Linked DNA regions of Cricetulus griseus. The protein of the gene in region 2 purifies or fractionates together with the protein of the main gene of each other region. This does not show direct contact. Links are inferred from orthologs where the notes say so. Each region holds a gene or a part of one and is shown on either strand. Other genes may lie near its edges. The genes, in order: Ppfibp1 and S100a4.

The links.
Region 1: the proteins of S100a4 (region 2) and Ppfibp1 purify together in Homo sapiens (co-immunoprecipitation; 3 studies listed by BioGRID and IntAct, with this or other methods). This does not show direct contact. The link is inferred for Cricetulus griseus from reciprocal best matches to the Homo sapiens genes S100A4 and PPFIBP1.

Annotation. Positions count from the first base shown.
Region 1 is NC_048601.1:2,822,750-2,827,101, forward strand, and holds the start of Ppfibp1 (liprin-beta-1), read right to left. Parts: upstream 3,002-4,352; 5' UTR 2,807-3,001; intron 1-2,806. UniProt on the Homo sapiens protein: May regulate the disassembly of focal adhesions. Did not bind receptor-like tyrosine phosphatases type 2A.
Region 2 is NW_023276806.1:63,942,144-63,946,463, forward strand, and holds S100a4 (protein S100-A4), read right to left. Parts: upstream 3,095-4,320; 5' UTR 2,938-3,094; intron 1,898-2,937; exon of another isoform or gene 1,837-1,897; intron 1,701-1,836; 5' UTR 1,686-1,700; coding exon 1,545-1,685; intron 921-1,544; coding exon 756-920; downstream 1-755. UniProt on the Homo sapiens protein: Calcium-binding protein that plays a role in various cellular processes including motility, angiogenesis, cell differentiation, apoptosis, and autophagy.

The DNA.
Region 1 (4,352 bases), on a different chromosome or scaffold from region 2:
TGCAGGTAATAAGCTCATATACATGAAATAAAAGACAAAAGTACCATGTTTTACTATACCCCATCTGCCCTCATAAACATGAACTGAAAAAGGGAAATAGTATTTCAAAGTAAGTACGCACTGTAACTGTTATTACTCAAAAAAGTTGTTTTAAAACTTGTCAATAACTAACACACACACACACACACACACACACACACACATACATGCTAAAGATACTTACTGCTTAATTTGCATGGTTTTGGAGGTTCCGTCTTTCAGCTGCAGGATGCCGTTATCAACCAAGGCTACACAGTGCTCACCTTAGTGTCCACAAGGAACTCCACTTTTTTCTTTTCTAATAAAAGTCCACTAGAAAATGCAGTATGTTTTATATACATTCACTGAACATAAGTACCAAAATTTTGCCTAATATGATTGCTCAGCCATTAGCTATTCCTATGCTTAATTCAAAAACACAAACCAAAATTAAAAGGTTCTATTCCTGTAAAGCATATACTACTTACTCCCTTTCCAAAAGCCCTGTTCTCGCTGGGTATGACAGCGTGCGTGCGCACACGCACACCACACACACACACACACACACACACACACACACACGCACGCACGCACGCACGCACGCGCACGCACGCACGCACGCACGCACGCAACGCACGCACACACACACACACACACACACACACACACACACACCACACCACACACACACACACACACACACCACACACACACACACCACACACACACCACACACACCACACACACACACACACACACACACCACACACACACACACACACACACACACCACACACACACACACACACACACACACACACAACACACACACACACACACACACACACACACACACACACGTAAAGACAATGGGGGCAAGAGGATCAAAAGTTCAGGCTTGGAGATGGCTCAGCGGTTAAGAACACTGGCAGCTCTTCCAGGGGTCCTGAGTTCAATTCCTAGCACCCACAAGGCAGCTCACACCTGTCTGTAACTCAAGTTCCAGGGGATTGACTCCTTTACAAAGACATGTGTGTCAACACCAATGCACATAAAAAGTACAACTTAAAAAAAAAAAAAAAAGGAAGATCAAAAGTTCAAGGCCAGCCTGGGCTACATGGTGAGAGCCTGTCTCAAAGAAGACAGAGGGCAGTGGTGAGATCCTGGCCAAAAGGCTGCTCTTCTCACACCCTGTGCTGTCTCATCATCTGAAGAACCGACAGCAATACGGATACAAACCAGGCTGTTTGGAAAACACAGCAAAGGAAACACAAATGTCCTGTCCAGGTTTGGCGGTTTGGCTATAGAGACATCTTTTAAATTCCATCTTTAAAACCCTCTCTCCCCACACACACTTCCCAACTTGGGTTTTCTAAACGAAATGTAATGTTATGACTTTATTTCCCCAGCCCCTGGAAATGCCCTTTAGGTCAGAGTCTGGGATGCAGCTTTTGACTAACAATGAAGTCCACTCCTACTTCCTCCAGACCTGGCTACCAGAGACTCCTCACTGCTGAGGAACTGCTTGCTGCCCCAAAGGGGAAACTGGCTCCACTCAGAAGTCTCAGCTATGCGCTTTCTTATTCTTGCTCTAAAAGAGCCCTGAACCGCTGATAGAGCCAGGGTTAGAATCAGTGTCTTCAGAACTAATCCCACCCCCCAGAAAGTCAATCACACTCAGTGACCCGTGCACAGAAAATCTCCAAGCAAGAAAAGGGGTTTGAAACAAGAAATAAGAATCAGAACCCTACCAACAGGAAAGCAAAGACAATTGCTTTCTCTAGTTAACAGATTTTTTGACTTCCCTTTGCATTGCTCTCAATTCTTTCACTTAAACGACATGCTGTAGTGGGTAAGGGAACTGGGAAAATATAACTATTTTCTATTTATTTTCTGGGGATGGTGATTCACAAAAATATCTGTAGTGTTTTTAAATATTCTTCACTCCTATCCCCACCCACACATGCACTTCCCTGATGGTTCTGTCACAGAGTAGGAGACTGTGCTCAAGCACACATCTCTGATGGCACTCTCTCAAAGGCAGAGAAACTGAGACCCAGGGGCTGGAGTTCTGTGGTATTATATAGGGAATCCCGGGTTCCGCTGCAGTTCTCTGACTGGAATCTGTGGAATATTAGAGGGAGTCCAGGGTTCAGGGTCCCACTCCAGTTCCCTGACTGGAGTCTGGTGTGGGGAGATCCTGGGGTGTGAGGACCCACACGCACTTCCCTGATTGGAGTTCTGTGGAATCAAGAGTCTGTGGTGTGGTGGGGAGGGGAATCTGAGTTGTGAGATGGGGCGCATACTTCCCAGGCTGAGTGAGTCTGTGGTGTGGTAGGGAGCCCATGATGTAAGACTATGCACACTTCTCTGACTGGAGTTCTGTGGTATTTAATAGTCTGGGGTGTTCGAGTCCCAGCACACTGCCCTGACTGGAGTCTGTGGAGTGGAGGGGGAGCCCGGGTGTGAGCTGGGAGCACACTGCCCTGACTGGAGTCTGTGGAGTGGAGGGGGGAGTCCGGGTGTGAGCTGGGAGCACACTGCCCTGACTGGAGCCTGTGGCGTGGAGGGGAGTCCGGGTGTGAGCTGGGAGCACACTGCCCTGACTGGAGCCTGTGGCGTGGAGGGGAGTCCGGGTGTGAGCTGGGAGCACACTGCCCTGACTGGAGTTGTGTGCAGTCGGGGTGCGTGGGCCGCAGACCCAGGCGAGCCCTCCCTGTCACCCCGGGGAGCGGGGGTCCCCCGGGCGGCGAGCGCGGGTCGCAGAGGGAGCCGCCCGCGGGCTTACCTGAGGCGCAGGGCCGCCGAGCTCCACAAGTTGCCGTCCCGCCTCCCGGCGCCGGCGCGGCTGCCAGATCGCTGCTCCCGCGGCGGTCGCCCCGCGCCCTAGGCGGCGACAGGAGCCCGGGCCAGAGCACAGCGCCCGGCTGACATCACCGCCGCCCAGGTGCCGCCTCCGCCGGTCCTCCGAGGCCCGCCCGCCTGCCTGCTCGCCCGCTCGCTCGCCCGCCCGTCGCTCCGCCCCGCCCCGCCCCGTAGCCCCGCCCCCGGCTGGAGCCAGTCCCGCCCCGGCGGGAACCAGCCCCGGGGGGCGCAAGGGGCGGGGCCTCGCGCCTGCGGCGCGCTGATTGGCCCGGCGCGCCGTCACTCACTCCCAGGCGTCGCCGCCGGGGCTCCCACATTCCTGGCGGAGCCGCGCCGTGAGTGGGCGTCGGTGAGGATCGCGGGTGCCCGGACTGCGGTACCCCGGGCGCCGATCAAGAGCGGCGGGGAGCCTGGGCCGCCGCTGCCCCCGGATGGGAAGCGACGCTCACCCCGAGGGCCCCCTCCCTTTTGCGGCAAAGCCGCCGCGGACGGGGCGGACGGGAGCCCCGCGGATACAGCCGAGGCCTTGCTGGCCTCCCGCCCTGCAGCGCCGCCCCGGGAGGGGAAACGGAGGGTTTGCAGAACCTGGAGGACAGGACAGGGTCCCGGACGCCGCCTCCCTCACCTCTGCATGGTCACCTGGCGGCGCCCAACCACGTGGCTGCTTTTGCAAAATAACAAATATATAAGTAAAGTAATAAAACCTCACACACCACGAGAGCCCTCGCAAGTAAGACGGACTCTGCAGAGGGGGCGGAAATGCCACTGTTTGCTTTTTGTTTGGAGGATGGGGTCTCCACATCCCTAGGCTGATCTTGAACTCGTCAGCCTCCCGCGCGGGCCTTCCTGGGAGCCGCGCTTGCAGGCACACACTACCAACCCCAGCACTAACCCGTTTTTTAAAAGATTTATTTTTGCTGTTTGTTTTTGCTTTTTGTTGTTTTCCTCAAGAAGAGTTTCTCTTGTGTTTCTGTCCTGAAACTCCCTCTGTAGACCAAGGACAGAGATCCGTCTGCCTCTACCTTCCTGAGTGCTGGGCTGGGATTAAAGACAGGGGCCACCACACCACCAGGCTATTTTTTTTTTTAATTATATGTATGTACGTGTGTGTGCCCACGGAGGATGGAAGCACTGGCTTCCACTGGCAGTTACTGGCGTTGGAGTTAATGGACTGGCAGCTATGAAGTAAGAGCTGGGAACTGAACTGTTTCTGAAAAAAAAAAAAAAAGGAGAGAGAGAGAGAGAGATCAGAAGGGCTTAACTGTTGGGCCATCTCTGCAGCCCCTGCCCTAAACTTTCAAGTACCATAAGGTTGCTGTTGGTGCACAGCTGAAAGGGGACAGCCCTCACAACTGAGTTCAAACCACATGATAATTACTGTTGAGCCAACTGCAGTGACTGAGCTAACAATTAAGAATTAACTACTATTTACTCTCCGGTGGATAGCAGCGGTATAATAATCCTCCTGG
Region 2 (4,320 bases):
GAGAGAGAGAGAGAGAGAGAGATTTATGTTCTCACAAATGATCTCTCTATACTGCCCTTCTTCATCCAGCCATGGACAGGAAAGGATTAATCCACTGTTTGGAGCTAGTGAGCTAGAATGGGTAGCAGGGCAGGACCTGGACTATAAATGTCAGGGATGGGTGCCAGTCCACCTCCCCATCCTTCTGGACTCCTTCCTTGTGACTCAGGCCCGTTGTCTTCCCTCCAGACTCCAACCAGCAACAGATGTGACCTTCAATCCCATCCCAACTTCAGTTTGAGCCCAGAGGCAGATCTGGAGAGAGAAAGGAGGGTGGTGGACTGGCTAACTTCCCACATCTGGAGCCTTTCAAGCCAAGCCTCTGGTGGCTTCTGCCTTAAGTATTCCCAAAGTTTTCTTTGTTGCACGTATGTGCGCGCACACACACACACACACACACACACACACTTGCATGCTAGTTAAATCAGCCACTCAACCCCTACCCAACCCTTTCTAGTTTTGTTCCCTCAAGGCTCAACTCCCAGCTCAACTCCCCGCAGTCCCCACCACTACCCTGTGATATACCCTCCCTCAACACCCAACCCACAATCTCCAGTCTCTTAGGCAACAGCACATAGTTTCAAGACTCTTTATTGAACTCGCTCAGCATTGTGCATATGTATGAAGAAGCCAGAGTAAGGCACTATGCTCAGAGCCAAAAGGGAAGAGCCCCCTCCTCCCGAAGACCACGCCCCCACACTTCATCTGCAGAGTCTTCACTTCTTCCGGGGCTGTTTATCTGGGCAGCCTTCAAAGAATTCATTGCACATCATGGCAATGCAGGACAGGAAGACGCAGTACTCCTGGAAGTCTACTTCGTTATCCCTGTTGCTGTCCAGGTTGCTCATCAGCTTCTGGAATCCTGCTTCATCTCTCTTTTTCTGGGAGTAGAAGAAGAACAGTTAGAAGCCAGACCCAAGCTAGATCTCTGCCTCCAGCCAGGTGTTCAGGAACACCTGAGTGCCTCTGGGCACTCAGGAAGCCTTGGGACTAAGCTATGTAGAGGAGGATGTGCCCTAGATGCGGGCACTTGAGGTAGCTGGGAACGGGGAGGACCACATCTTCTCCTTGTTTGCTTTAATTATCTCATTAGGTAGCAGCCATGGCAGTGATGCATTAAATTAACTAATGCAAGGTGTTATTGAGGAGAGACTCTGCAGGTGTTTGTGTGCCTCCACCATCGTGTCTTCACAAACAGAAACTCAATTTCTCTTGCCAACAGTCCTGATCTAGCCTGCAGTTCAGACACTGACTATGTTAGGCAGTTGTTTTGCTTTTTCTCTGTCTCTTCGGTTGTGTTCATTCTAAGCCTTCTCTCAGCTGAGGGCTAATGAGGGATAGATGGTTCACTGTGGTTCCACACCAAGCACCCGGAGCAAGCTCTCCAACCTCCATTTCCCCACCTTAGAGATATACGCCAACTGTAGCTAGGCACTACCTACCAGAGTCCCAACCTCCTCCTGGGGATGCACCACACATGAAATACACAGGCAGGACCCACTCACCCCCAAAAAGCTAGGCAGCTCCCTGGTCAGCAGCTCCTTCAGCTCAGACTTGTTGAGCTTGAACTTATCACCCTCTTTGCCTGAGTATTTGTGGAAGGTAGACACCATCATATCCAGGGCCTCTTCTAAGGGGTATTCCATGGTGACAGTTGAGAGCTAGGGGCAGGAGACACAAAGGTAGCCTTACCCAACCCACACCAACAGTGTATCAAGAACTGGCTATGTGGCACTGCTCATCACCCAAGTCATAGACTCATTCTGCCCCCATTTTAAATGCTCCATTCCAACCTACCCTCTAGGAACACTTCAGGAGACTGTCCTCATTCCCAGAGAGATCAGAGGAGTGGGACCCACTAATGGCAAGATGGTCGTGTATGCTTTGGGCTCTGAAACATGCAGAGCCTACCATACAATCTCTGGAGATTCGTGCCAGCAGCTTTTGGGCTGACTGTCCTCGGGCCTGGCCTCAACAACAGCAGTTTTCCGTCCTTGCTCAGCTCAACCACAAGCACCAGGCTCTGGCCCGTTCTTCCCCCTCCCAGCATTGGGCGCGGCTGCTGGCTGCCTGCCCATGGGCCCACAGCGGAAAAAACCCAGCTGCCTATTGACCAGCTTAGTGAGGAGTGAGATGAGGTGGCAGAGGTAGGGGCACAAGGGGAGGGTGGGGAAGCCAGGCTCTCTTGACCTGGGGTGCTGGATGTCCATAAGGCACTAATATGAACACAGAAGTCTACAGGTGAGTGCTGGAGTGGTAGCCTGTAAGTAGAGGTGCCTGCCACTAAGCTTGATGGCCTGAGTTTGATCCCCAGAGCCCATGGTAGAAGGAGCAGACTGACTCCCTCCCACAAGTTGCCCTCTTACCTCCACAAGTGCACCTTGGCATGAGCCCCCCATCCCCAACCCACGCATGCATGCACACAAATAAATAACTGAAGTTTAAACGTTAAGAAGAAAGCCTACATGTTCCCTCACTTTGCTTCCTGCACCTGCTTTCCCGCACACACTGGCTTGAATGACCCAGCAAACACCCATCAGGGTACCTATCCATGGCTCCCAAACACAGATGTACACTGTAGCAACAACACGTGTAAGCCTCAGCATCTTAGAAATCTTGAGAGCTCAAATGGCATCTATACACCTTTTTGTTGCTGTTTTCATTCTTGTGCAACACACACAGACACACACAGACACACAGACACACAGACACACAGACACACACACACACACACACACACACACACACACACACACACACACACACACACAGCCTCCACATCAGAATCTCTCATCTGGATCTAGTAAAAACATCTGTCTCCCCAGAAGCCTCCCTTTCTCCTGTCCCAGCCTCAGCCTCTGACACCACTAATACTGCTATGAAGCCAACACAACTCACCAGACCCAGAGAGAGGAAGTGCTGAACAGAGAGGTTTGGGGAAAGCTCAAATGTCTGCCCTATTTATACTCTGCTGGGCCCTGCCCATGCAGGGGATGGGGGGAGCTTGGATACTATGTTCCTACTGTTGGCTGATGTAGTAAATGTCACAGGCCCCTCCACCAGCCCAACCTGAGAACCAAGCTTCCTACTACCCAGCAGGCACAGGCGAGCATTGAGTAAGCCCCAGTGGACACGAGAGACCTGAATGGTGTGGATACCACCCAGTAGCCACAGCTCAGCCAACTTTTAAGGAAGCTTTGAGAAGGGGCAACATGGGCATGGGATGTGGGCCACAGGAAAGAAGATGGGGAGGTGATGGGCAAGAGGGGAATATGGAAATGTATGGCCCAGGAATTGGGGAGGTGACCCCGGCCAGTGGGACAGTCAGCCCTTCTCTCCAGCCTAAACAGCTCTCTGTCACGCTCAGTAAGACCCAGAGTGAAGACTGGCAAGTCGGGAGGGGCCTTGGTACCACCCTAGGTATTAAGTGGGAAACGCCTAAGAGGGCGTGATGGAGTTAGGGCAGTAATGAGGCCTCGAGGTTCATGAATGGGTAGAAGGTCCAGGGAGGGTATTGGGGCTGATGGGAGCATTCAGGTTTGAACACTCAGCTTGGAGAAGAGAGTTACAGGAGAAACAGGTAAAATGGGGAGTCAGGATTAATCTCTAAGGATGGGGTACAAATACGGGGATTGAGCAATGGTCAGAAATGGGAACTTGGGACCCTCAGGGGCTGTGGTTTCAGAGATGAGGACTGACTCAAAGTATCCCTTTCCCCTTGCAGTAAATACAGAGGCTCCCTCCCTGGCTGGCAGCAAATACCTCAGAGGCCCCAATCCTATTGCTACTGCTCTCTGGTTTCCCACAGCTATGCCACACCCATACCCACATACCTCGATGCTCTAATCACAAGTACTGAGTTTCTCCCAAGGAGCCTCTTGCCCTCCTAGAAAGCCCAAAACAAGGGCTTCCACCTCAAGACAGGGGACAGAGAGATGGAGACAAAGACCCCCAGCCTCACCTGATGGGGACTTGTAATGGCCCCACCTTCCTACTGAATACTGAGACTTATGCATTCCTATGGGGTCTGGAACTGCCTTTAGGGCCCCTGCCTTCAGCTGCCTTCCTCCAGCGATATGGAACATAGAGGGGTAAAGACTCCCAAGGACTCAGTCCCAAAATCCAGTGTGTCCCATCAGAAGAACCAAACCAAGCCAAGCTGACATTTCTTTATTAGGAGTTGAGCAGGCCCCTGCCACAGTGTGCACATGGCTGAGCCTCCAAAGTGAGAGAGCAAATGTTCTCCCTTCCAAGAAGAGAAGCTACTGTTCCACCCCTCAC